2 linked regions of the Cricetulus griseus genome follow. The protein of the gene in region 2 purifies or fractionates together with the protein of the main gene of each other region. This does not show direct contact. Links are inferred from orthologs where the notes say so. Each region holds a gene or a part of one and is shown on either strand. Other genes may lie near its edges.

The links. Proteins that work in one complex are often made in the same cells at the same time.
Region 1: the proteins of Usp18 (region 2) and Stat2 purify together in Homo sapiens (affinity purification with western blotting; 6 studies listed by BioGRID and IntAct, with this or other methods). This does not show direct contact. The link is inferred for Cricetulus griseus from reciprocal best matches to the Homo sapiens genes USP18 and STAT2.

The regions. Positions count from the first base shown.
Region 1 is NW_023276806.1:129,601,174-129,605,333, forward strand, and holds the start of Stat2 (signal transducer and activator of transcription 2), read right to left. Parts: upstream 2,821-4,160; 5' UTR 2,655-2,820; intron 1-2,654. Other genes in the region: Apof (apolipoprotein F), read right to left, coding at 3,325-4,160. UniProt on the Homo sapiens protein: Signal transducer and activator of transcription that mediates signaling by type I interferons (IFN-alpha and IFN-beta).
Region 2 is NC_048601.1:23,648,341-23,651,986, forward strand, and holds part of Usp18 (ubl carboxyl-terminal hydrolase 18), read right to left. Parts: intron 418-3,646; 5' UTR 312-417; coding exon 164-311; intron 1-163. UniProt on the Homo sapiens protein: Interferon-induced ISG15-specific protease that plays a crucial role for maintaining a proper balance of ISG15-conjugated proteins in cells. Regulates protein ISGylation by efficiently cleaving ISG15 conjugates linked via isopeptide bonds.

The DNA of each region.
Region 1 (4,160 bases), on a different chromosome or scaffold from region 2:
ACGCCCGTCTTGGCTCAGTGTTTAAGAGCACTTGTTGCTCTTTTAGAGGAGGAGTTTTTGATTCTTAACACCCACGTGGCGCTAAATTCCATTCCTAGGGGATCGATTGGATGGATGCCCTCTTTAGACTTCTGAGAATATCAGGCACTTAGGTGGTATGCCTACATACATATACACAAAACTCAAAAACATAAAAAGAATCTTTAAAAGACACAGAAAATAGCCGGGCTGTGGTGGTGTACACCTTTAGTCCCAGCACTTGGGAGGCAGAGACTGGCAGATTTCTCTGAGTTAGAGGCCAGCCTGGTCTACAGAGTGAGTGCCAGGACAGCTAGGGCTGTTACACAGAGAAACCCTGTCTTGAAAAAAAAAAAAAAAAAAAAAAAAAAAAAACAAGATACAGATTACATTGCTTCTATTCTCGGTTTTGGTTTCTGTCCTTTCTCTCTAAAGATAGTTCTTATTACAGTTTACTTTAGTTTTTCCAGGGAATACTATTAAATAGTTGTCATATGTAGTACTTTTTGTTTACTAGTAACTTTCAAGACCTGAGCCTGGTGGCACATGCCTGTAATACCAGCACTTAGCAGTTGGAGGCAGGAGCATTAAGGGCAGGCTCAGCTACATAGTGAATTTAGGTCAGGCAGGGCTGCTGTGGATCATTTGTTGTTGTTGTTTTGTTTTAAAGGTTTTATTTATTTATTATGTCTTCTGCCTTCATGCCAGCAGAGGGCACCAGATCTCATTCAAGGTGGTTGTGAGCCACCATGTGGTTGCTGGGAATTGAACTCAGGACCTCTTGGAAGAACAGTCAGTGCTCTTGACCACTGAGCCATCTCTCCAGCCTGTGGATCAATCAGTTTTTGTACACTGTGAATATGTATTACCCTCAATGGTTAATAAAGAGCTGACTGGCCTATAGCTGGGCAGGAGAGCCACACTAGGAGAATGCTGGAAAGAAGGGAAGAGTCTTAGGAGTCGCCAGCCAGATGCAGAGGAAACAGGACGTGTACAAAATGAGGTAACAACACATGAACTGCACGGCAGTAAGTAAAGGAATATAAATGGGTTAATTTAAAACATAAGAGCTTGTGGAGTTTGACTTTCAGGATGTTGTGAGTCTCCCAGTTTGGGTGCTCAGAACTGAACCCCAGTCCTCTGCAAGAGCAATGAGCTCTCTTAGCCACTTAGCTGTCTCTCCACCCACCAAGAGCCAATTTTTCATTTTAGCTTTCTAATAATAATCCTTGACCGCCCCTTGCTGGAGATCAAACAGAGGACCTCTCTTGTGCTCTGTGAATGCTCTAGCTGAACTACATAACTACAACATCAGACAGGTATTTGACTCTTTTATTTATTTATTTATTTATTTATTTATTTATTCCAGACAGGGTTTCTCTGTGTAGTTCTGGCTGTTCTGGAACTCACTCTGTAGCCAGGCTGGCCTTGAACTCAGAGATCCACTTGTCTGGGTGTTAAAGGTGTCAAGAGTGCTGGGGTCAAAGGTGTGCACCACCACCACCACGCCTGTATTGCTTTTAAGAAACAAAAACATTGCTGTGCGGTGGTTGCACAAGTCTTTAATCCCAGCACTTGGGAGGCAGAGGCAGGTGGATCTCTATGAGTTTGAGACCAGCCTGGTCTAAAAGAGCTAGTTCCAGGACAGGCTCCAGAGCTACACAGAGAAACCAACCCTGCTTCAAAAAACAAACAAACAAACATCATTTTAAAGACAAGATCCCAGTTCTTCAGGAATTAAAGGACTAGTATCCAAGCAAGGGAACAAGTAAATTCTGAGATTTAAATAAGAAACCAAACATAAGAGAAAAAAAAAGTTGCTGGCTGTGGTGGTGCACACCTTGAATCCCAGCACTGGGGAAGCAGAGGCCCAGCCCGGTCTGCACAGCAAGTTCCAGGACAGGCAGGGCTAAACCCTGCCTCAAAACAAACAAGTCTTCCTAAGTGGACTGTACTGCGGTTATGGGAGCTGCAAAGTGCTTTCTCTAGCTTCACCCTCTCAATTTTACACTAAATAAAATTTTCTGAAATAAACTAGACTGTGTGTGTAACCTTAAGCAAGCAGTTTCATCTCCCAGGACTTTACAGTTTATATTTGTATATATATTTGATATATATATTTGATTGTATGTATATATGCATATATACATACATAACAAATAAGGATGTCCGTGTTTTCATTTATTTATTTATTTTGGTAAGGATAAAATATTATGCAAAGGGGCTGGGAACACAGCTCAGCGGGTGAGAGCTCTGGCTGCTGTTCCAGACGACCCCACTGGGTTCGATTCCCAGCTCCCACATGGCAATTTATGACCAGCATTCCAGTCCCAGATCTGACGACCTCTTCTGACCAACACAAGCACTGCACGGATGTGGCACACAGACAAAGCATGCTTACAAATTAAATAACAAACAGATGATAGACAGATAACGCTTTGGCTTATGACAAGGGTCAAATGCTGCATGCCAGGCTTCAGGGTTTGCGGAGGAGTTTTGGAAGAAGGTCGACAGGGCTGAAAAGTAAAAGCAAAGCGAGGGTGTGACATCCCGGACAGGGGCATCCCGGGGGCAGTGGCCCTTCCCGAGATCGAACTCACGCCTCCCTGCTCCGCACACGCTCTCCGGGCCTGTACCTTCTGAGGCTCCGGTGCCGCTCCTCCCAGTGGCTCCCGCGGCAACTTCCACTCCTCCGGGCGGCTCAAGAACCCCACCCCGCCCCTGACTTCGGCGGACCCAGACCGTGATCACCGGGCCCTACGGATTCGCCGTTCCGGGCTCTGGCTGAGGCTCGCCCACGCCCTTCCCACGTCACGCCCTCATTGGCGGAGTCCTGGCCCCGCCCACCACCGGGCTGGGCGAGCTGCTGGAAACCACACCGCCGAGCTCCGTGTTTGGCGAAGAGGCTCCCAGAGGGGCGGAACCCAACTAATGTCATACCCAAGAATTCAAGCAGCTGACTTTCCCGAACCTGCACTCCCAGGAAAAGGAAACGAAACCAGAGCGTGCAGAGGCACCAAGGACTCCGCAGAAGGGGTGGGACTTGCATTTCGATACTTTAGGTAGGGAGGGAAGAGCCGAGGCACATATTTTTGAGGACATAATGATAAATACCATAGGATCGTGTTATCAGTTTTTAATTTCCATAACCACTTGTTCAGGTGAAAACTCACTACTCCCTCATTAGAAACATAAAAAACTGAGTTTCAAGAAATGACTGGCAAGTGATGACAATACCCCAAACCCATCCATCCATCTATACTACTCCTTCTCTGTCAGAATTTTCCATTTATTTGTTGTTTGTTACTACCTCTTGTATGCCCAGATACTGTAGTCCTGTTCCAAGGCTTGGTCCCAGTAGGAAAATGTACTTTCAACTTCTGACACCAAAGTAGTCATGGTTGTTTCTTCGAAGTCACGGTCTTCCTGCACGGTCTCCGGCAGAGAGAGGCTCACCTCTTTCTCGTCATAATAATATCGGATCAGCTGCTGAACCCCAGCCTTCAATGCTGGCTTAAGAGTAGCACTTATCACCACACCAGCCGGCCCCCCTGACACACCCACCATGGCCATCAAAAGGTCATAACCCAGATCTAAGGCTCCCTCTTTGCCTCGCTCCTTGGCCTTGTCGGAGCAGTTCTGAATGGCATAGTACAATGCTGTGCCTAGATTGTAGTAGGTCCCCACTGCCGGCAGCAGCCCAACCACACTGTGCACACTCTGCTCCCGCTCATTGTCACAGGCTGCGTTAGAAAGAGAGCGTGGGACCCTCTTTGGACCTGGCTGCTCCCAGGCTAAGAGCTGCAGAGCAGAAGATAAGGCGTCTACCGACACTTGCTGGTCCTCAAGTCCACCTTTCTGGAGCTCTTGGAGATGGTGGATGAGGGCCTGTGTAGCCTCCACACCTCCCAGTCGGTAAAGCTGCCGCTGCAGAGCCCAGACATCAGCCTGGCAGCCAGCTTCCTCCAGAGCGTTCCTCAGAGCCAGGCCTACCAGGAACTTGGGGAGAGGGGGCATGTGAGTGAAGCCAGGCAGGGACTTTGGGAGCAGGACCTGGCAGGACAAGGGGTCTGAGGAGGGCAACTGGTATCCCAACGCCAAGGGAGGGAGCATCGCAGAGGGACTTGTTGGCTCTCTGTGTG
Region 2 (3,646 bases):
TCCTGGACAAAGAGCTTCTGAGACAGGACAAGGCAAATGAAAACTCCAGGGGCAACAGGTTTCAGCTGACAAGTCAGCAGACGAAAGTCACTAGCACAAAACTAATGTGGGGTGTGCCACTTCCAAAACAGAGTGGGTAAGAGAGAGAGGAGGCTCTACTCACCATGAGGGCGGTCCCAAGCACCACAGTGTTCTCTAGACAGCCCCCTCTTCCTCGTCATGCTCTTCTCTTTCTCCAGTTCTGAGGGGCACTGAGGCTCAGCCACCTCTAACTGGCAGGTTTTCCTCAGGAGCCCAAACCCTTTGCCCATTAGTGATCACGCCCAAACCCCGAGTCTGGGACTGCCTGACTAAGGCTCGGGATTCCACGACTTCACTTCCTGGAAGGGTCCACACAAGCCAGACACAAAGGAACCTCTGTGGGAACACAAAGCAGCAGATGACAGTGAGATGGGGACACACCCATGTCATCAGCTCCAACTGCTAGAGGCAGCCTGGCTTAGCTCTGAAACAGGAATTAATGACAAGCTGGACATCCCCAACCCTTCTTCTAACTTTCCATTCCTCAGCATGGACTGTCATTGTCCTAACGCTGGCCCTCTTCCTGGGTTCCCCTTCTCAGTAAATGGTCTAGAACAAAAACCAAGGGTCTCCTTGCCCCTGACTCTCAATCCATTATAGATGAAAAAGGTGTCGATACCACTAGCTAGAGACTGCCCACAAGCAAACCCCTTGCTCTGCACATTCTTGACCCCGTGGGACATGCCTTCAGACATCCAAGATCCTTCCTCTGGGAAGCTTGTCCTAGGTCCTCGGGAAGGCTCTGTGGCCGCCTATGCTTTAAGTGCTTTGGGCACAAAGTTATTCAAATTCTGATGTGAGGACTATGTGTCTCTATGTGGTGTGGAATTGGTGACTCGCAGCTCAGGCTCCCCCTTCAGCAGTCAGCCCTTCCCAGACCCATAGGACAACTGTATTCCTTTCACCCAAACCAAAGACTCAGAAGCACAAGATTGTAGTATAGATGAGGAAATGTACTATGATCGGCCAATCCTCGTTCTTACTTCCTCCTGACATCACAGGCCTCATCCACCTGTAAACCCTCCTCCCAAAAATTCTTTGGGATTCCCCGGGAGGTCTCGCATGTGATTCAGAACAAAAGTCGAAACTGCTGTGCCAGGCCTCACCTGCGTCTCTCCATTGAGCCTGGGTCCTGCAAGGCACTGCCAGGCACAGAGGCCAGCCTTAAAGAGCACTCTGGCATCTTCAACTAGGAATGATGCGAAAGTGGAAACCACCCAGCTATCCTCAGGGGCGTGTGCCCTTTGAATCCCCCAGTTCCTTCTGAAAGGCTTCAACTTCTGCCTGCAGCTTCCTTCTACTCCTCATCCTGTCCACAAGCCTAAGCTGGAGCGCCTCGTTCTCTGTGTCTCCTCCTCTCTAGCCAAGGCAGATGCACAACCCCAGAGTTCCTCTGTGTTTCTCTTTCCCCATGGGCAAGTAAGTGGAGAGGCCTGAGAGCCCATTGGCTATGAAACACTGAATCAGCTGGGTTCAGTGAGGGCCCTCTCACTTACAGTCTTTTCGAGACAAGCTGGTGTTGGGAGTCTTCCTCGATTGCCCTCCATCTAATTCATTGAGGCAGGGTCTCTCAGGTGACCCAGGGCTGGCCAATATAGTCCGATCTAGCTATCAGCTTACTCCATGGATTCCCTGCCCCCACCTCTCAAGCATTAGAATTGCAGGGAGACCACCATGCCCAGCTGGCATCTACACAGGTATAGGGATCCCAAGCCCTGGCCTCACATTCACACAGCCAACATTTTACCTAATGAGTTATTTTCGCAGCCAAAAGGTAAGATTTCTTTAATTATTTATCTATTTTCCAGTCTGTGTAGATTTACGCTCATGAGTGCAGTTGCCCTTGAAGACCAGAAGAGGGTGTCAGATTCCCCCTTGAGCTATAGGCTGCTGTGAGCTGCCCAAACTGTTTGGCAACAAAACTCGGATCCTCTGCAAGAGCAATGTGCACTCTCAACGGCTAAGCCACCTTGTCTTGTTCCAGTTGATAGTCTGGCCAATGGAGAGAGCCAGTCAGAACTCAGTGGCTAAAGGAGTGGCCTAAATCTGGTTGTGAGTATAAGAGGATATTTCATGGAAGAAGTCGGTCTGTAACTGTGGTTATTAAAGACAAAAGAGCAGAAGGGTGTGAGTGTTAAGGCTGTTAAACCAGATATGCTGCTAAACACCAGTAATTCTAGCACTGGTGAGGCTCAGGAAAGGGAATAACAAGTTTGAGACCAGCCTGGACGACAGAATGAGACCCTACTGAGAGAACAAGAATCTGAATCTTGATGCAAGAAAGGTAATATGGGCGGTGTGCAAAAGTTTGGTGTTTGGAGAAAGGGGATGTGGGTAAGTTTATGCAGAGTACTTTAAGAAGATTTGCATAAGGAAATTCAAACTCAAAACGGAAGGAAGTACAGTCTAGAAATTTACTAACTGGTAAGCTAACAGTCATGGAAACCCAAATCAAGACCATAATAAGACATCCTTTTACACTTTCCATCTGGGAAGAGTCAGCAATTCTGACAGAATCTGATCATCGCACACCACCAATGTGCTGGAGTGAAAAACCATTCATGATGCTTCTATTATAAATGTGTAGCTGGGAAAGAGGGGTGTTTGGTTGTTTTGGCTTTGCCTTTGTTTTGTTTTTTAAGATTTATTTATTTATTTATTTTATGTTTGAGTACTCTATCTGCATGTATGCCTGCAGGCCAGAAGAGGGCATCAGATCCCACTATAGCTGCCTGTCAGGAACCAAGTGGGTGCTGGGAATTGAACTCAGGCTCTCTGAAGACCAGCCAGTCTCTTAACCACTGAGTCATTTCTCCAGCCCCCATTTGGTTGCTTTTTGAGACAAGATGCTTACTCATAGCCAAGACTGGTCTCAAACTCAATCCCCTTGCCTCAGCCTCCTGAGTTTCAAAATGACAGGCAGCAATGCCACCACACCCAGTAAAATCTGTATAATTCCTATGTGTCAATTAAAAACAACATATATTTAAATTTTTATTGAGCCAAGCATTGGAGGAGGTGTGGGTAAATAAGATTCAAAACAAAACAAAACAAAACAAAAAAACTTTGGTGACAGGGTTTCTCTGTGCAGCCCTGGCTACTCTGAAACTCACTGTGTAGACCAGGCTGGCCTCAAACTCAGAGATCTGCCTGCCTCTTCCTCCAGAGTGCTGGGACTAAAGGTGTTTGCCACCACCTCGTGGCTAGATTTCTTCTTTTCAAATATGAGCAGAGTGTGTGTGTGTGTGTGTGTGTGTGTGTGTGTGTGTGTGTGTGTGTGTGCGCGCGCGCGCGCGCGCGTGCACGCGCGCCACAGCACACATGCAGAACTCAGAAGACACCTCAGCTGAGTCGGTTCTGTCTGGGAATTGAACCCAGGCCCCCCACTTGTGCGACAAACACCTCTACCTTCTGAGCCATCTTGTTAGACCTAAACATGTTTTGATTTTTTTTAAGATTAAAGTTTCTTACTGTGTTAATTTATCTTATTGTGTATCATGTGGACATGAATTGCCACAGCACACAAAAGGAAGTCAGGGAACAATTTGTTGCAGTCAGTCTTCTT